Coturnix japonica: one gene and its partners. The protein of the gene in region 1 interacts with the protein of each later gene in a biochemical or structural test. Links are inferred from orthologs where the notes say so. Each region holds a gene or a part of one and is shown in the gene's direction. Other genes may lie near its edges.

Region 1 (7,778 bases):
TTCCTGAGCTGCCTATGCCATATTCCAATTTGTTTCTTTTCTCCCACTGAGTCCAAGCCATGCATTTTGCATTTATCGCTTCCCTGACAGAGAGTTCCCAAGTGTGAGGAACCATCTCATTTTGTCTGCTTTGAACCTGGCTCCTACCAGCTCATCTAAATGTCCTCTAAATCTCTAAAAGTAGAAGTGAATGCCCAGTCCCTACTCATCCCTTCCATGCTATTCATGATTTTGTAGAAAACTGACAGCAGATACAAATATAGTAATTATGAATGCTCCCATATGGCTCTGTCATAAATAGTTGTCTGAATAAAAGTCAATCATGACTTCTGTTTAAAATGGATATAAAACAGAAATCAAATATAAAAATTTGAGTAACTAATCAAGGAACACTTTTACACTCTTTATGGTATTCATTTAGCTAACTAGAAATAAAGATGCTTCTGTGAGACACTTTATCCTTTTGCTAAGGAGAGAAATAACCTTGCTAAGGATGAGGTTTTATAGACGCTGTTTATGTTTGATTACTGTGTTGCTCTCTGTGTGTGACTACATCATAAAATCATTTGTAAGGTGAAGGTAATTTACAAATTATCAGAGGCAACCAAAATAGTCTAGCTAAATTAGTTGCTCCTTATTACTTGTGTATGCTCTTCTGCTGTGGCTCTGAAGCTGGCCTACATTACTGCATTTTATTTTACAATAGTAATAGAGGAGTCTTAGTGCAGCCAGGTATCGTGGCTCAGCAATGACTGTTAATTCATGAAGTCATGATTAACTTTGTTGTATGTACATCTGTCAGTCTGTAATTGCTAGACCTGGTGCAAAACATACAGAAGGGCATTTTGCCAGGAAAATATGCTTGTATTAGAATTGTGAGATGGATGCTCTGCTTTGTTGTACGTATTGGAAGGGGGAAGACTGTTCCTCTTAGTGATGAATGAAAACATGCATGGGGAAAGGGATGGCAGCTGTTGATGGAGAGCATGAATTATGTTTGTGTATGGTTAAAGAAGGCAATGACAGACCCTTCTAATTGGATACAAGCACTACAGAGTACAGAAGAAAAAGTAGCTCACCCTTTCCAACAACCAATGATGGCTCAAGAGGAGCTTAATCGCTGTCTGTAGACATACTGCTCCCTCAGCTTCTAACTCTTAAATGAGGGTGAGAAAGGGTGGATCCAGGCTCTGCTCCTTCCAGTTACACAGGTGCACTGCTTACACCTGAGCTCCCTGGTTTAGCCATGCCTTCTCACCTGGTGCCAAACTCTTGGTTCAGGGCATGATCTGGCAATTCTGCTGCAGCATGCAGTAAGTGTGTTGAATGTACCTGTCTTTGGAAAGAGAGTACTACTATAGAAGTCATTTAAATTCTCCATCGCTTCTTTGTTACTTTATCAAGCATTTTGCACTTATCAGAGTGTTTGATTTGCAGAGCCAAAACACTGGTTTTCATACGACTAAAGGAAAATAGCATAATTTCCTAGATAGGAATATGTCCTTGGAAATGCACATATGCAGGTATTAGGTGTGTATGTGAGTGTATCCTTTTGTATATATGTACATGTAGATAGTCCCACCTTAGCAGATAAATGAATTATATACCCTGTTGTTTTAAGTACAGATCAATATAATGTTATGTAATATCAGTAATATAATGTTACTCATAGTTGAGCATTTTGAGTGTTCCTGGGAATGCAGGAAGTGTTCAGTAGTTGGAACTACTTTTGCCCTCTATTTTGCTCTTTACTTCTCAAACTGCAATCAAACTAAAATTCAAAATACACTCACTCTTTCAAAAAATCCATATACAAGAATTGCACATTTCAGTTATTTCCAGAACATCTTTATATAGAAATCAAACCCAGTAACAAGATGTACTGCAGGAGACTCTGTAACACATTGTAGGCCGTATGTACTGCACTCCTCCTGACACGGTGTTATGTAATCCTATCCTGGTTTTTAGTAAATTTAGAGGATGTGCAAAACTCAAAATGTTGTGTAAAAAAATATATTGGTCTATGGCCTTAAAGATTATCCAGAAATAGCAAAATCTATATTAAAGGTGTAAAATTGCAAATATTTACAACGTTCATTGCTCAGCAAAAAATCGCCATCATTCTCAACTATATTCGCATGCTTTTAAAGCATTTGACTCCTTTACAGCAGTCAGGTACACTTTGTGTTTGGAAAATCATTGATCCTATTGTCAGTTTAAAAATAGATTTCCTCAAACTGTATGAGCACTTTTGAATTTATGCATCTGTCACTCATAAAAAATTCAAAGGAGTATGTCTTCAGTTAGAACATTGCAGTGGGAATGGGAAATCTTCAAGAGGGATGGTTATTGCAATCAATACCTAAACAGTTCAAATGTCAGGTAGCCAGTGACTAATTGATACAAATGATTTTATTGCTTTATATTACTTGCTAATTCCTTTGCTTTGTGCTAGTGGAACTGTTTATTGGCTGAAGCAGCCCACTGGGATTGAGTGTACTGTTTATGCAGCCTTAGTGACTGGTATGGATGTAGTCAAGCTTTTCTTGTTGCATAGTTCTTGTAGTCACTCCCCTGGTCAAGGGCTCAATGAGCACATTCAGCACCCTTGTGAAAAACAACACTGCCAGCTGAATGGCTGTAAGCTCATGAGTTTATTTGCCAGGCTTCTCAGGATATATAAACCACTCTCTGCAGCTCTAAAAATGATATGGCGAGTGCGGTAGTGATTTCCTGCACTGAAGGAACATGCCAGCAGGAGTTATGTACTGCAGATGTTTTAGTGAACTCTGAAAAGACCACAGTGTAATACAACACTCCCAAACATTTCTGCTAGCGTGTGATTTTTCTCTCCATCATTACCTTCCACAGAATTGTATCTGTGGGGAACCAATTTATGTGACCGTGCTCTGCAGTATAACAGTGAATTGTTTTGCTTAGTATTATTTAATGTAACTTAGCTCTAAAACTCAGTTTTCTGCATGCATTTGTTACGTGCAGCAGGAAAGAGCACAAGGGGCATAGAAAGTGTGTGTGTCCTGTGTCTGTTAAGGTCAGTTGTGGATCAGAGATTTGTTCCAGGACTTAGTGGTTGCCTGGACTGCTGGCTGGATGGGTCCCTTTTGGTTCTGATGTTTCTCTTCAATTTATAGCTCTGCTGGGGGAAGCACGTGGCTTTTGTTTATTAGTCACTAGCTATTCTGTGAAGGGAAATCCCATACAGTTCCTCTTTTCCAAATTATACACTACAGTATTAGTAGCTTTTCTCTTAAAACAGTCAGTGCTCTCTGAAATTGACAAATAAGCCACTTGTAGTCACTCTAGTACAGACCGGCAGTGAGAAATGTTTGCTTTAAAAGGTGTTTTCTCTTTTTCAGTGTTTGTCAGGTTCAACTCAAGCCATGGCTTCCCGGTGGAGCTTGGGTTGGAAGCCAGCATCCTCCAGCTGAAGGAGGCGGTTGCGCAGCGACAGGGAGTTCCAGCTGACCAGCTGCGGGTGATCTTTGCAGGGAGAGAGCTCAGCAACGACTTAACGCTGCAGGTAAGCCTCTGTGGTAGCTTTGCTCCTGGACTGCTGCCAGCTCTGCTGCCTCTGCCTCTAATGCTGCCAATCTGACATTCATTCCTGAGATCTAATAGAATAAATAGTGCCTGGGGATTCCTTGAACTTTACTCCACACTGCTTCATTAATTCTGACCTTCTTAATTATGCATTAAAACAGCAAGCAGGAAGGATAGGGAGAGCATATGAGTGAGAGAGTATGGGAGAGAGCTGTGCCTAGTGAATAAATGTTTACTGACTACAGAAGCAAGCCATGCACAATTTCTGTATCTGTTCAATTTTTATTTTACTTATTCCATTTGAATCTTAATGAAGAAGGATGTGAATAAATTGCTTCAGATCAGGCTGCACGGTCAGCACATTCTGTAGAATTTGTAACCCAATTGTGACCCCTGGAGGATAGCTACAGGGCTGCTGCTGCTGTTCTGAATGCTGCCGTGTGCCATACACAGGTGAACGCACTGCTGGAATGATGGTTCCAGTTCTAAAAAGCTCATGGAAGTGTGATCCAAACCACCAAGCTCATAAATGTGTGAAACTGAGAGCAGCAAGGAGTGTGGAAGAATGGCTATAAGTGGGTATCTGAATTTCAGTTTTTCAAGGTTAGGTAGCTGTTCAGTTCAATAAGTGCAGAATTGTTCATCTGTGATGAGCTGTAGTAAGCATGGAAATATAGGTTCAATTTTCTCTTCCTTGTACTCTTTACTACTCTTCCCAGTGCTGCCACAGTTGCTTTATCATTGTTTTTATTTATACTATGAGTAGTGAATGTGAATTTCAGAGTATGTTCAGGAAGGGGTTAGCATAAGATCATACATCTAAGACATGTAGGAACATAGGAAAACCTAAAGGCCTTTGAATAGAGTGCTCTTGAATTTACTGCCTTAATGAAACTGCTATCCTTCTGCAGTTGTATCAAAATAACAGACACAGTCTCTACTACTGCAGGTGATTATATAAAAGGTCCCTCACAGGCAGAAGTATTTCATGTTAATTAGCAGTCGTGTTTCAGAAGTATTTCTGTAATTAAAATGGATGCTAAGTCTGGGTACAGAAGGGTTACTACTGTATTAATGACCCGTCCTATTTCTCTGTGGTTAAGATACTCAATATTTTGCAAAGGATTTTAGTGTGTTTTAGGACAGAACACAATACAGAAATATGAACTGTTGTCAGTCCACAATGCATAACCTATAGATAGCATTGATGCATATATTTGTGATGTAAACTGCAGTGTATTTCACTTATATTTTTTCACATGTGAGAAGAAAAATAGTGGAAATTACCAGATACCAGTTGCTAGTTCTGGTTGTCTGTGTTATCCTGTCCTAAGCTTATGAACTCCTAGTGTTTCCTGAGCAGCTGTAGGTATTGGTGTTACTGCTATTTTATGTCACAGACATTGAATCATGTTTTTTGCCTTTAAAAAAAATTGCTGTCAGTTACAACATACAATGCTTTGCTGTGCAAATTAAAATGTGCTTTTTGGATATAGAAGCCTGCTGACTATTTGCTTAATTTATTTAATAGGAATGACAGAATTATCAAGTGTAGCCAAGTCTTACTAATAAACCGGATCTATGTTCATTGCTGTGACTTTCATTTTCTAAAGCATATAGGATGTAAAATGGCTATTTCAGGTGGCATAATCCATATTTGTGTATTTAAGTGCCTTACATAATCCAATGATTAATACCAACATGTCAACAAGATTTTTATTCCTGGTATTTAATTATTTTAATTGTTTTTATCTATTCATTGTAGAAATTGTCAACACAAGAAGAATGGTAGATGGTTTGATATATCTGACTTTTCCTACAGAAGGCAATTTGGGGCTTTTTGCATAAGCAGCTGAGTGCTAGTGAAATAGTAACTGCTGGCATTAATGTTGCATCTGTAATATCAGAGTTAACATCACATAGAAGAAAATTAATAACAGTTGTTTTCTGGACCTAATGATTTGCATGCAGATAAAATAAAACAAAACACAACATACATTTTTACATGGCTGAATCTTAGTTCTTGGTAGCTTAGAATTTCTAATTAGACCATTTTTTCCTTTTGTTTTTATAAATTACTTTTGTGCTTACTTACCCAGGATACTGTGGGAGAATTTAGAGATTTGGAATGAGCTGGGATAATCTTAGGAGTGTGGGGCAGGGATATAAGAAATATATCCCTGGATAACAAAGTTTACTGGTTTCACAGCTTGCAGAACTGCTAGATTTGGCTTGACAGCTACTTTGGGATCTCGTGCAGGTGATACAGAACACAACTGAAAATGTGAAAACTACATTTGTTTTCCTGTTCAGAGAGAATGGAAAAATCTTTCATGGTAGCTGAATACTGTAGAAGAGAAATGCATGCTGACTGGACAAATATTAGAGAGAAATAAGGATAAGGAAGAAAATGCCAACTTGAGATCTTTACATAAGTGAAAAATTTGAGAACAACAACAGTACAAAATATCTAGGAACGACAGGAGTGAAATATGTGTGGAGACATTTAATTTGGTAGCGCAGATTGGTGTTTTGTCCTTGAAAAAAGAGAAAGATTAGACAATGATTCAACTGTACACAAGGGAGATCAGTATCTCTGCTAGTGACAAAGGAGCAAGTAGTGAAATTAGAGCCGTGCTAAGAAAAGATTGGTAATGACTGGGTGAAGAATGAGACTTGCAAAATTTGGATCTCATAGGAAGGAATTAGAGCAATAACCTGCTTCATAAAAGCACAGCAAATGATGTCACTTTAAGGGTGCTAAATATCCTGAAGAATGATGAAGAGCTCCCTGCTGATTACAGTTCACTTTGGAATGAATAGAAGTAATTAATTAATATATACTCAAAGTAGGAAATGTTTCAGAAGACGATCATGGGTATATGAGAACACTGGTAAGAGTTTTTATGTCAATCAGAAGGGCAAAAGAAGAACTCAGTCATAGCAAATTCACCAAAGGAATAAGAAGGTGATGGCTGGGTATTAGGAACACTGAAATATTTAAAGGAGAGATGACTGCTGCTTACAGAAATACTACTGTTGCCTCCAAGACTAGAAAATCAGTTAAGCTCTCTGGAAGCAATACATATATATATAGATAGATAGATAAATATCCAATTTTGCTCAATGCACTTATTTGAAATTTACTAATGTTAATACTAGAAGCAGTATTATATTAATATAGGCTTGCCTTTTCTGGGAGAAATCAAAATCCACTTGTGTAGAGAAACTTTGCAAATGGCAAACAAGAGAGATTCCTTGCCTGGCATAGTTTATACACAAATGATGTGATGGGAATTCATAGCTTGTTCAAAGTCAGCAGAAGAGGGGTAGAATTAAGTCTTCTGTTTCCCAATCTGAAGCCATTTCTTTTAGATGCTTTTTCTTCTGTCAGGTAAATGTGGAAAATACAATTCTGAGACAGGTGGAGACTAAGGATATGATTAGTAGTAGTAGGACTAGCTGGCTTTAGCATATGCTTTGCCACGGAATCTTCCATATCATTGAGGGTTTGTATTTGGCAGGAGCACAGTCTCAAGCCTTGGGTCATAAGCTTTTTGTGAATTTGTCTTGGACTGCATATATCCATGTAGATGCTTTTCTAATGTTATTTATACATGTGTTCAAAAAAGAACTGTGATGACTAGAAGCATTAATAAATTTTGGTGTGTGGGTTGGTGAGCATAACTAAAAATGAGTGAAAGGCAATGATGACATAGATGGTCACTTCTACACAAGATAGAAAAAAAGAAATGTTAGGAGGGAAATACCCAGGCCATTCTATGATTCTATGGAAATGGTGCTATAAATAATTGTAGAGTGCTGAATTGTTACGGTGGTTTGGAAAGGATATGCTTTGTTGTGGAGCAGTTTCTGAATGGTAGGCATTAGAGCTCAATAATTAGAGCACCTGGTTCTACTGAAAGCCTTATCCTTGTGTGAAAAGCTCAAAGCCAGGCAGAGCTCCTTGTGACAAAGGATCTCAGTAGATATCCCTCAAAACAACTTGCTTAGCAGACTGGAACACTGCATAGTTTGGAAAGGCCTTGTGCAAGTAAGTGTATGGCAACTTTCTTACTTCAAAGCACAACGCAGTATAATAGAGCTTCCAGTACTTTTTAGATTTTCTGACTTCTTTTTGCTGAAGGTACAAAGCAAAAACTTGGTTATAGTAAATGCAAAGTATGTCTCTAACCAGCAAAAAACTGTGTGCTTGA
Region 2 (6,221 bases), on another chromosome or scaffold:
TTTTTTTCCTTATTGTTCTAGTCCATGATTGGGAAAGCCATTGGGGTATATTGACGTATTTGTTGAAGAGGGTATTACTCTAGATATAGGAACATCTACTGATAAAACAGAGTGGGAATGTGCAATGGTGGTAACAAGAGAGAAAAATGAAGTCAGCCTAATAAAAGGGGGTGTCCTTGTGCAGCTCAAACACTGTGTCAGATCTATCTGACAGTCCCAGCAAGCATTGCTCTAATAATAAAGCAAATTCTTATATTTGAGCTGACAGAGCATTGTTTTCTCCATATAATATTGCTGAATGTTATGGTATTGAAATAAGATGGGTACAGGTGAGTGTGCATAGAGTGTATTAAAGGTGTTTGGGTTGTGAAATGACACATTGTGCAAGTACACAAGGATATACGTTCCCATCTGAGATGAACAAAGGAAAAATGGTTTCAAGGTCACGCTGTTCATAGGCCTCTTCAAAGCATTGGTTTAAGCACAGGAGCACAGACTGTGTTATTTCTTTCTCAACAGTTGCATGCCTCAGCTATTTCAGAGCTTGGAGCACACTGAGCAAGGAGGAGTTCTAAGGTCTAAGCTGAATCTTGGACCCAGTGTAAGACAGCTGTGCCTTTAAGGAAGGTAACCATGTGGGAAGCTTGTCCGGTTATCAGCTTTAGGTAATTGAATTAATGCAGTGTCTGTGTATGCTAAAGCTGCTGATGTGTGGTTGTGACCTTCCTGGGGACACGGATATCAGTAACTTCTCTGTTCCTTTGTAATGTCAATGTGAATTGGAGAAGGGTTTTGATTTCTGCCCCAAAACAACAAGCAAATAAATCCATTATTAGGAGAACAGGATGGTCAGGAAAAGCCCATGAGCTGAACAAGAGGAAGGTTTGTACATTCAGAGGGTGCTGAGTGGGAACAAGTACGTAATGGCTCAGAGAGGACCCTGTTCTATGCCTGGGTTTCTATTCCAGCTGAGGTTGAGCTGTTAACCATGCAAAACCCCCTGCTGACAGACAGCATGATACACAAGTTAACTTGTTCTTTTACATTTCCTTTAGTGAGAGGCTATAGTGCATCACAGCAGTGAGTCAGAGGGAGGCAGACTGACCATGGGGGGAGCTCCCAGTGCTCCCACTGAAGCGTGGAGGCAAATCTATCACTGAAGGTCTCTGGGAACATTCGGTCTTGATGTTAACGTGGTGTTTGAGCTGTATTCACATCACATTGCTGCATAACCTGACCTGGGTTAACAGGGTAATCTGGGTTGCATCGCGTTTCTTCTTGATGCCGGGTGTGAAATGGATTCAAGCAAATTATTTGGTGTATCCCTGAGGATGGCAGGGAGTCAAATGGCTTCACTGATGGCTGAGCATCATCTCTCAGCATCTCAGTAGCAGATAATTCAATATAAAGCTTCTAAAATCTCCAATTTCCATGAGCTATGCTACTGTCTCTGCAGTCCGCCATCACAGCAGGGGGCGCTGTAGCGCGGCGGTGCAGAACCAGGGGGCGGTCACAGCGGAAGAGCCGCTCTGGTACCGCAATGTGACTCTATGGCAGTTGGGGGGGGTTGGTAGTGGGAGGGCAGAGCGGGGGGGGGAGTTGGGGGTGACGCTCTGGGAAGGAGGTGCGAGGCGGTGGCCGCTCTAGCCGAGCGACTCGTTGGTTCGGAGTCCCGGAAGTAAGCGGCGTTCTCCGAGGCCGGCCGCGGAATGGCGGAGAGTCCGGCCGCCGAAGATGCGGCTCCGGCCTCGGTGCTGGCAACGACGGGCAGCGGTAGCGGGGGCACCTCGACCGGTTCGGGAAGCGGAACGGGAAACCCCGGCGTCTTCATCCCAGCCGAACTATGGGCTGCCGCAGGGTTCGGCTCTTCACCGCCGGCCGCCACCGTGGCCCCGGTTAGCGGCGGAGCTCCCATCGCTGCGGCTGCGGCGGCGGCTGCGGGGGCCGCACTCCTCACTCATTCCGCCTTTTGGGACCCTACGGTCAGCGGGGACTGGGACAGCGAGAGGCCCAGCTCGGCCTGTCTGCTGCGGATCAAACGGTGAGAGGGCCGACCTGCCTCGGGGCCGCCTACCCGGCTTCTCCCGGTCCATAGAGATCTATGGGAAACCCGGTTGTTGTGTGGGGCCTCCTGCCTTCCTCAAGGGCGATGGGAACTGGTCTGCGGGGGTTCGGTTGGGTTCGGGGTTGTGGACTGGTCTATGGGTTCCCCTGGTGGAAGAGGAGGCTTGAGGGAGACTTTATTGCTTTACAGTGGCCTTAAAGGACATAGTGGGGATGTGGGGGTTGCCCTCTGTGCCAGGTAGAAGCTGTAAGACGAGGGGTGGTTTCCTTATGTTGTGCTTGAAGAGGTTCGGGTTGGGTATTAGGAGAAATTCCTCCTAAAGTGGAATTGTCTCCTAATGAGGCGCTGGCAAAGGATGCACAGGGAGATGGTGGAGTCACCATCCCCGGAGGGATTCAAGAACCATGAAGATGTGACACTGAGGGATGTGGTTTGGGGGTGGGCTGGACTTGGACTTGTGGATCTAAGTGGTCTTTTCCAACCATAATGATTCTATAATTCATTACCATGCCCAAGGGCTCTTTTAGGTGCAGCCCCAGGGCTCTGTGCTGAGGGGTTTGGATGAAGGCCACAGCCCCTCTGGGATATCCTCATCCTCCTCCTGCTCTTGCTGTGGCCTTTGGCAACCACACTGTGACACATTGCCCTCATCCTGCCCTCAGGATTGCAGCGTGCTCCTTGAAGGTGCTGTTAAATGGGAGCAGAATGAGCTCCTCTGTCCCCATCAGCAGTTGAGCTTTGCAAGATGTTATCCTAAACCTGCCGGTAACAATCCTTTCCTGGTTGGTGCCCACCCATTTGGCTGCTCTGACTTTTGAAGGATCATCTGGTTAAACCTGGTGTGTCAATAGCCTTTGATACCATGAGCAATACTGTCTTTTATTGTTAGAGATATTGGCACTGTGTCAGCAAGTTCTTCCTCTTCCTTCAGAACAGAATTGCTGCCTGCCAGGCTCTTGCTCATCCTTGTTCTGTTGCTTGTTCTAGAGCTAGTCTAACGTCTTCCAAAGATGGCACCAGATATTCTGGCAGTTTTCCATCCAAGCACCGAAAGCAATAACTTCATCATGTGAAGTAGGAAGGCAAAACTCTCCTGTTGTTCTCAAACTTTGTTATTGCCCTGAAACCTCTCTTAACTCTGGTTGCTTCTTGAACAGGTCTAGTGGTAGCTTGTCCCAGAGTACTGTGAAGCTCTGATTATGATAGGGAGCTTTTTGGCAATAAAAGTTGATGGGTGCTGTTTGGTAATCTCCTTCTTTTTCAGTTCATTTAGTCCAGGAAATAAAACTGTTGTGATTTAAGCTGTGTGTGTGTCCATGTCTCCTAATAGCAGTTGAACCCACTGTCAGACTAAAATCAAACTTGACAGAGCAGTAATGTTTTCAGACACGGTCCAGGTACTGTAATGATGGGGGAAAAAAGTGAATGGGTCTATAGGAGGGACTTTGTAAATAGTCCATGTGTATGGAGAGAAAACAGGGAGGTAAAGTTTTCTATTAGGCAACAATATTCACCAATGAGAGCTTTTTCATGCTGACCTTAGGAGAAATTTATTGTTAATTGTTAGGTTATGGTGTAAAATGCAAGGCAGCGTGTTGCCAAGGTGCTGAGGTCTGATGCCTCACTATTCATTGAATGCTGCTTGTGCTCTTCAGCTACTGTTTAGGATAAGTTAAGAGAGCTCAGCCGAGAAACAGACTCCAAAAAACCCCAACATCCACCACTTTGAGTTGCAGATTCCCATCTTAATTCTGTCCCTTTGCATCTCTACACAGATTTGTCCACTGGAACATTCCACGCCTCAAGGGCTGATCAACACCAAGGGAGATCTTGACTAATTCCTGTTTCCTTTATTCCAGGGATATTATGTCTATTTACAAGGAACCACCCCCGGGAATGTTTGTTGTGCCTGATCCCCATGACATGACCAAGGTAAGAGACACTTTGGAATGAGTTCATGATCCTACTCTTCTATATGTTGCTATTGATGGCTGCTCTGAGGGTTCTCCCAAATGGTGTAATCCCTTCTTGTTTTGAGAGAAGTCAGGGTGAGTCTTGTAAGAGCACAGCGCAGCTCTGGGTTTCTTGGTGACGATCTGGGCTGTATTTAAATAGGAGGAGGCTGTCAAGTTAAAAATGGCTTTGTGGAGAGATACCATCACAGGAACCTGAGGAGTTTCCACTGATAAAGACAGCCCTATTTTGTGTCCCTATGGACTAGCAGAGTGCCAATCCAGCTTGTTCTTTCCCCTACAGATGCTTGAAAAAGAATCACTAGATTAGCTCAGAGAGATCTCTGTGGAAATCTCTTGGCCATGGGGGGGCTTTGTGAGGGGCTGGAAATGAGGAACATATCTCAGTCACTGGAAATTATATGTAAGTCACCTGCAGAAGGCAGAGGTGTTTAACTGTTGTGACCTGATAGTGGGATTAAACCCTGGGCCCAGATCCTGTCCTGCTGTGGAGCTGCCTACCTGGCTCTAACAGGTAACAGCCTCTCTCCCAGAGAGGTTATGGATGCCCCTGTCCCTGGAAGTACCTGAGGTCAGGTTGGACCAGGCTGTGAGCACCTGATTGAGCTGTAGGTGTCCCTGTTCATTGCAGGAGAGTTGGACCAGCTGGCCTTTACAGGTCCCTTCCAACTCAAACAATTCCATGAGCTCATGCAGATCTGACCTGCATAGCTACTCCCATCACATCATCTCCAGCACATCTGTTCCCTGGGGCCAGGTGTGTCTCTTGTCTCTCCTGCTCCAGTTCTTCCCCTCCTGGCTGCTTGGCTCTAGGGATTTTCCAGGATAGGGAATTGCCAATTACACCTGAGAGATTGCAGTGATCTTAGAGGCTGATGTTGCTCAAACAGTGATCTTGATCCAGTGCATTCCTTGGCTGATGCTGCCTTTCTCCAGCCAGTGTCACCTCATCTGGCTGTGTTGGATACTGAGAAAGCTCTATGTGTGTATGTGTGTGTGGATGGGGTTGCTTTGGTTTCTCCTCTGCTGCACACTTCTCTCACCCCCCTTGACAGACTTGGCACTCCCTTGGTTCCCTCAGTGTGAGCACCTGCCTGGCTTAGGGCTCTTGGATTTTTGGAGACAGCACAAAGGGAGTGTCTGTGTGCAGACAACTCAGACCTTGGGCATTTTGCTGGAGCTCTGACCTCCCTCGGTTTGGAGGTTGAAAGTGCCAAAATGCCCTTCAGCAGGAATGCGGGTTTGTAGAACAGCAGCCTTGGGGTTTTTAACTAACATCCTAGGTGGGTGAGAGGATCATTAAAGGAGATTGCTTGGATCGCTTCAGGAGGATGGAAAAGGAGGAAGCTTCCCTAATAGCCCAATGGGAGCAGATTTCCTGGTATGCAACTGAGATTTTTTAGAAGGTAATTAGCGAGGGGAGCATGGGGTCTTAATTTTAGATCCTGGCAGAAGTAATTAAATGATTGGTTTCAATAAAACCAAATCAGCACGAGACCATAAAATTGAGGAATGTTCTGGTTTTGGTGGAAAAATCTGCCTTTTTTCCATGCTAAAATTAGACTTTTTTTTCCCCCCCTCCCCATATTTGAAAGCTTTTTAAAGCAGAGCTTACCAGCTGAACTGTGATTCAGTCTGCTTTGGGCTGTGTCGAGATGTATGGGAGGCAGCTGCTGTGGACCGTGGCCAAACCTCGTGTTGGAAACCTGCTCTGCACATTGAGTGTGGCAGAGGGGAGAGAAGTGTGCAGCAGTGGCTCTGGCTAAAGGAGGGAAGGAAGGGGAGGGGGGTTGTGTATGGCCTGCACGTGGCGTGTGCTTGGGGAAGGTGCTGTGTCCATGCCTGGGTGGAGGTTTCTTGCCTTCGGTTGGCTTTGTTGAGGATTTGATGGTGCTGCACAATTTTGAAGTGGTGCGCAAGATGGGCTTTTGTTTTCCAGATTCATGCATTGATCACAGGCCCATTTGACACGCCTTATGAAGGGGGTTTCTTCTTGTTCCTGTTTCGCTGTCCTCCAGATTATCCCATCCACCCGCCAAGGGTCAAACTGATGACAACGGGAAATAACACAGTGAGGTTTAACCCCAACTTCTACCGCAATGGGAAAGTCTGCCTGAGTATTCTAGGGTAAGAGGAGACTTTGGCTGTTTTGGTGGGAAATCAGGAGGTAGCCACAGGCTGCA
Region 3 (6,195 bases), on another chromosome or scaffold:
AGTATCATTGTAATTTCTGCTGCTGAAGTGTAACCCAGTAGAAACCTACTCAAAGTTTAGCAGAAAACAGCAGCTCAGAGCTGCAATGGTGGTTCAGCAGTAGCCTTCTCTTGCCTCCACCTAGAACGGTCAAAGCAGGAATGGCTGCTCCCATGGACTAGGATCCAAGGATTACAGTGGGCAGAGAAGGACCTAGGAGAATCTTTTGGTTGTAGAATAATGCTACTGCAGTACAAACACAAACTGTGGGGAAATCCTACAGCCTGTAGGCAAGTCATTCAGTACGTATGTCTGTGCCATGATTTCATGAACGCAGTGTGCCAAGCAGAGCTAAGTAAAGCAGCTTGTCAGACTGGATGATGAAGCATCCTACATCCAGATACCTAGAATGCCAGCAACAGTTCATATTGCTGTCAGTTTTCCATCTGTTTTATTTTTTTTTCTCTTTTATTGACTTGATTCTTGGGAATTGATAGTAATCCTATTTAAAAGACTCAAATTAGTTTGAATCTAAGCTTTTCCAGTTCCACAGGGTGTGTGTGTTGTGTAGTTCAGGTTTTGATACTTGGAGGGCCTACTTGTGTGGAAATAAAAGGTGCAGGTTTAAATGTCTTCCTGAACTCGGTGGTTTTAGGTGCTTTCCATGATTTCTAGGTCACTCAGACTCAATTCAATTCACTGGGTGTGCAGAAGCAGCTTTGTGTAAATACTGCCACGGGAAGAAGGAAACCAGGACTTACAACTCCAGCATCCTTGTAATCTTCTGCTTCTTGACAAGCTTGCTCAATTATTTGTGCCAACGGAAGAGAATTTCTCGGTGTCCCTGCAACAACAGTGCCATTTACCCCAATGTGAAGGCAAGCCATACAGCCAGTGATGCTTTTCTGATAACGCAGTTATATGCGCTGACATAATAAAATAGAGAGAAATGGGGTAAAACAGTTAAACGAGATGTGCTCCCCTTTGCTGAACGTCACAGCTCAGCTGTATCTGCTCGCTCCTGAAGCCACTCACAGATCTGAGGGTATTGATGCGGTGTTGTACCGGCACTTTCAGCTCTTTTACGGCCCGGCACACAGCCATGAGAACTCGGGCCGGACGCAGCACCACAGGGAGCCACGTGTCCGAGCTGTCCCGAGGCCTGTGCACTCCGCCCGGCCTATATCTCGTCATCCCTCATCTCTCTGAGCGCTCCCCCAGCGCTGCGGGTTCCCTCAGGTGCCCGTTCTTCCCCCGACCCCTACAGCCATGCCGCCCACTTTGCGAGCGGGTCCCGCAGCGCCGCGTGTTCCCCGTCCCGCCCCGCGCTCACCTGGCAGCGCAGCCACATGCACCACGCCGAGCACCGCCGCCCGCAGCCGCCCGAAGAGCCGCGGCCCCGCCATGGCAGCCCGTGTCTTTGGTCCCGCTGCCGTCGGCTCAGCCGCTCACCTCGCTTCACCCCTCCGCCGCGGGGTCGCGCCCGGGGCCTCCCGCCCCCCTCCCAGCTCCGCTTCCGCCCGGTGCCGCCGGCCCCGCCCCTGCTCACACCGTGTGATCCCGCTCCCCGCGGTGCCCCGCGCTCCCCCGGGGCCGGAGCGCGCCCGCAGACCCCGCCCCACCCGGGTGCCGGCCCCCGGCTCTGGGCGCGGGGCCACGTGTGCGGGCGGGAGGCGGCCCCGCGCCGCGCGTTTAAATGTCCCGCTCGGTGCGGGCCGCGATGTGCGCAGGGACGGGAGCGGCCGCGCCGTGAGGCAGGAGCTGCCCGCGGTTGGTGCCCGCAGTCGGTGCCGTGCCCCGCACGAGCTGCCCCGCCTCGTCCCCGCCGCCGTCGGGCGGGCACCGAGCGCCGCGCCCGCGCTGTGTCCGGGGAAGCTCCGGGGTGCTGAGCGCTCAGCGGGTCCCGGGGCGCGGCGGGGCCTTTCCGCGCCTCGTGGCTCTTTGTGGGGGCTGCGGCTCCCGGCTCCGCTCGTGCTCTCGGTCCGGCGGCGGGCAGCATGCGGAGGGAGAGGTGAGTCCGGCCGGCCCTGCGGGTAGGCCGGCTTCTCCGTTAGCGAGGCCGGGTGGGCGGCTCTTTCTTAACGCTTCTCGTTTCTTGGCAGCGACTGCGCGGAGGAGAAGGCTCCCGCCAAGGGGGAAGGGGGCGCCGAGGGGACCGTGCGGGCCCGCAAGAGAAAAGCCGATGTGGCCACGGTGAGTGCAGGCCCGGCGGGCGGCACGGCACGGCCTGGAGGGCGGTGCGGGCCTGGAGCTGCTCCCGCGGCCTTTTGTTGGGGGGTGGGTGGCCATGTGCTGCAGGGGGGGTGAGCGGCCCTAAATCCCTTCTTTTCTTTTTGTAGTTCCTACAGGATCCCGATGAAGAAGTTGCCAAAATTGAAATGAGTAGGAAAAAGCAATATGAAAGCCAGGTAATGACTGTGGCCTTAGATCACCTTCCTTTGGTCTTAGTAGCCTGTTGGTGCAGGATGTTGGTATTACACAGATATGCAGTTACCCCGTGTTGTGTGGTGGTGGTTGAGGGGACCACCAGCCCAGGCTGTTGAAGGCCACAAACCACCTTAGTGGCATGGCCTGCTTTGGAGCCTTTGCAAGGGATGAAGCCTACACTGCTTTAAACCATTACGTGAATGCTTCAGTGTACCTAAATGTCCCGGGGCTGCCAGGCTGTGCCCTACAAAAGCCTTCATACACACTTAGTTTTCCACACTGACGTACCTGGAGCCTTGTAGGAGTTCAGTGGTTCACTTACGTGCTGTATCCCGCAGGCCAAAGCATGCAGCCCTTTGGCACGCAAACAGAACCAAGTTTTGAGATGGATCTCTTTGTAACCCTGTCTTATGCTTACATATAACCTGGGAGAGAGGAAAGATCACTTGTTCCTCTTAGTTAGCTCTATTCTCATTGGCAAGTGTTTTTATTAGGTCGAGGGAGTACTTGAAGTTCCAGATTAGGAGTTTATAGTACTGGATACTACTGTGGTGGTGATGTGGGCTTTAGGCTTCTGCAGATGAAAGGGATGATTTGTTAAAAGCCTTTTATACTGTAGGCCAAAGAACAAATGAGGCTGCTCGCTGGGGTTGGTGGCCAGTGCCAGTTTCCAAATAGGACACTTGGCATGATCCAAGTTACTAAGTCAGACTGAACTCCAGTAGCATCCCCTAAACTTCTTAGTGCTGTTCTTAAGTTCTTCAATCTTGATACGTTAGTCGTGTTTATATTGGGTGCTTTATTGGTATCTGGTATTGAAAGCAAGATGCCTTTGTGCATTGAGATGCTTGCTCTAAATAAAAGAGCAAAATCAGCCTCTCGGAAGTAGGTTTATTCTTGTTTATGATTCTCTCCTGTGCATATGCACACACATGCTCACTCACTCTGTTGCAAGGACTTCAGCCAGTTAATGCACATGCAGGGTGATACTTAAGCTGCAAAAGTCATGATCAGGGAGTACAGACAGTACTCATTTGGTACGCGAGGCTATGCATAATGTGGCACATCTAACCAGAAGTGGCAGCTGGAAGTTCTAAGACTGAAGTGCTACCATAACAGATGGGCATCATTGTTTGGAATGGCCTCTGCTTGTTGCAACTGCGTACACTAGTTATCAGTCAACATATTAAGCAGGGCTCAAATGGTGAGCATTTAATGAGGGGATCTCTCCTTCCCTTCTGTCTTTCTTTTGTGCAGTATATTAAACTAATTTCTCACTACTGACAAGGAAGAGCTGCCTGTCCTTCACTGCAGACCCCTCCTTTAGCAAAACATTCTGGAAGAGCTTCTAATAAATGTTTATTCCATAATAATAAGGTACCATTGAAAAAACCCTTATTGCAATTGTAATTTGAAAAGCGGCTTGAAATATATTTTGCATACATTGATCTTCAGCTTTGGAAGTAGATACAGGGATACAGGCTTCCAATTTACTGGGGCTTTTTCTTTTTTCTTTTTCTTTCTATATGGTGTTGCTATTAAATGCTACTTCAGGAACGATAGGTATAGCAATATTCAGATAACTCAGGCAGGAGGCATCCAAAGTATTAATTTAGGAATTTTCCAAGCTGTCTTCAGGACGCTGGTGGGACTTTGGCCCTTTGATTCTGTAAACTGTAGATAAAAATGGATACCTGTGTATCAGTCTCTACACAGAGAAGGTTTTTTTGTTATGACAAAGTAGCCAGATTGTTACAGATCTGTTTAAAAAAGCTAACATTTGGCTGCACAGCAGCAGCTCTTCAGTCTATGGCTTGACACAAGCTATTCTCTGATATAAATTGCCATGGGCCACTAATGAGAATATGTTTATGGTTCCAGCAGCAGTATCGCAGGCTTGTATGATAGCCAGTGAGATAGTTATTCTGTTGAGGCACAACAATTCTAAAATGCAAGCAGCTATAAATCCTCTGCAGCCTGTTCCACGTGACTTCTACATTAAATAAACTGTTTACTGACACTAGGTTATACATGAGGCAAAATATCGTAGTCACATCCCACTTTATGGCATCTTCATAGTCAATTCATTAGTTTGCTTCTGTTGAACATAAGGCCTGAGTTCTTAATCAGAATGCTGTTACCCTTTATGTGATGGGAGGGTGGCTATATCATGAGGTTTGTGACAGCGGAATATTGCATCAATTCTGTGTTTGATTTTGGAGAACTGGCACTGCTGTCATTCTGTAAGCAATTCTCATATTAATTCTGGCTGCTTTCTATGGATGGATACACTTCCAAGGCTTTGCATAAAGCAAAGTTCATTTAACTTGATGAGAGTAATCCATGCAATTATGATAGAAAATGCGTGTTCTCCTGAATCTAGAGTGGAGAACAGAAACCAGAAATGATAAGAAATCTTGGGATGGGGCTACCTAATCTTTTTGGATAGAAAGGAGACAGAGCAAGCTTTCGGTAATCAGTTTTGATCAATTTCTCATTAGCCACTTTTCCATATTCTAGTCTTACTGTTGTCAAAATTTTCTATCTAATGATCTTAAAATGTCCTCTGAAGAGATTCTTTAACAAGCCTAGGTTGTTTCTGAAAGGTAAAATTAAAGAAACAAAACAAAAATGCAGCAGTGACTACAACAAAAACCTCATGCACTTACACAAGTGAACAATGTTACCTATATCCAAGTTGAGAGCCTGGCTTGGCCCCAATATTGGCAGGGCAATATTTAGACTCTTTCAAAGCCTATAAGTGCCAGAAGTTCCTATGCTGTTCAAAATGAATTGGAATGACTGAACTGTTGCTCTTCTTTCTCCTCTTCATTTAATAATTCTGGAATCTCTTTCTCATGGAAAAGCCCTGTACTTCAACCTCTGATGCTTCCTGTGAGTGAAAATTGACTTGAATTGTAGGTCTTAATGCTTTCTGATGGGCAGAGTAAGGCTGCAATCTAATAGTTGAAGTCTGTCTGCTCAGAAATGCTACATTTTGAGGTGAGACAACCTGACTTGGCTGACTTCTCCTGCTTGTTTGGGTTTCCATACTGAAAATCCAGGGACGCTGCTGTTTTTAGTGCAGTTCTGGGTTACTGTCATTTCCAACCCTCCTGTTGGCACCTTTTGCCCCTAGTAACTTTACTGGTGGCTCTGAGGGGCACAGGTGTCTCAGAACCTTGTGTGGCTGATTTCCTGAAGGCTCTGACTGCCACAGTGATCCAAATGGCCGGTACCTGCTCCATTTGGCGGCTGGCCTATGTGCCCAAAAGGTGTTGCAAAGTTCCACTTCAGTCAGTGTTTGGTACATGGTGACATGCTACAGAAAAATGAGGTATGGGAATCAGCTGCTGTGTTCCAGGTGTTTCTTCTAATGAGTGTTCTCATGTCCTACCTGTATCTAGTGCCTCATGTGCTTTAGGGCTTGCACTGTGCCAGCCCAGAGGAAGCTCTTCCGGATTGCCTCCCACCCTCCTCACCTTAAACTGTTTCACTTTCAGTAGCAGCTCAGCAGTCCTTTTATTTCCTTATGTTTAGTATGCGGTGTTCTGCAATTTCTTGATACTACTGCTTGGTTTCAGCTGAATATCTTGCTCAATCTGCTCTAAAGAATCAGGAATCTAATAAGCTCATCCACTCGACCAAAATACGTATAAAAACTGTGGTGTTTTTTCACTTCAGCTAATTCAGACTTCTGTCTCCTTTCTTGCTTTTGAAGGCCCTGCTTATTTGCTTCCATTCTTATCTCTGGCTGAGCTACGTGCTTCACTGTTACTTGTGTTCTCC

What was found. The genes of interacting proteins can lie anywhere in the genome.
Region 2: the proteins of PRKN (region 1) and UBE2Z form a complex in vitro, tested with the Homo sapiens proteins (2 studies listed by BioGRID). The link is inferred for Coturnix japonica from reciprocal best matches to the Homo sapiens genes PRKN and UBE2Z.
Region 3: of the proteins of PRKN (region 1) and CCNE1, one has a biochemical effect on the other in vitro, tested with the Homo sapiens proteins (2 studies listed by BioGRID). The link is inferred for Coturnix japonica from reciprocal best matches to the Homo sapiens genes PRKN and CCNE1.

The regions. Positions count from the first base shown.
Region 1 is NC_029518.1:40,120,030-40,127,807, forward strand, and holds the start of PRKN (E3 ubiquitin-protein ligase parkin), read left to right. Parts: upstream 1-3,232; 5' UTR 3,233-3,343; coding exon 3,344-3,541; intron 3,542-7,778. UniProt on the Homo sapiens protein: Functions within a multiprotein E3 ubiquitin ligase complex, catalyzing the covalent attachment of ubiquitin moieties onto substrate proteins. Substrates include SYT11 and VDAC1.
Region 2 is NC_029542.1:3,064,670-3,070,890, reverse strand, and holds the start of UBE2Z (ubiquitin-conjugating enzyme E2 Z), read left to right. Parts: upstream 1-1,667; 5' UTR 1,668-1,709; coding exon 1,710-2,041; intron 2,042-3,924; coding exon 3,925-3,997; intron 3,998-5,977; coding exon 5,978-6,165; intron 6,166-6,221. UniProt on the Homo sapiens protein: Catalyzes the covalent attachment of ubiquitin to other proteins. Specific substrate for UBA6, not charged with ubiquitin by UBE1. May be involved in apoptosis regulation.
Region 3 is NC_029526.1:7,172,192-7,178,386, forward strand, and holds the start of CCNE1 (G1/S-specific cyclin-E1), read left to right. Parts: upstream 1-1,641; 5' UTR 1,642-1,976; coding exon 1,977-1,990; intron 1,991-2,081; coding exon 2,082-2,172; intron 2,173-2,318; coding exon 2,319-2,387; intron 2,388-6,195. Other genes in the region: uncharacterized protein F13E9.13, mitochondrial-like, read right to left, coding at 741-823, 1,313-1,385. UniProt on the Homo sapiens protein: Essential for the control of the cell cycle at the G1/S (start) transition.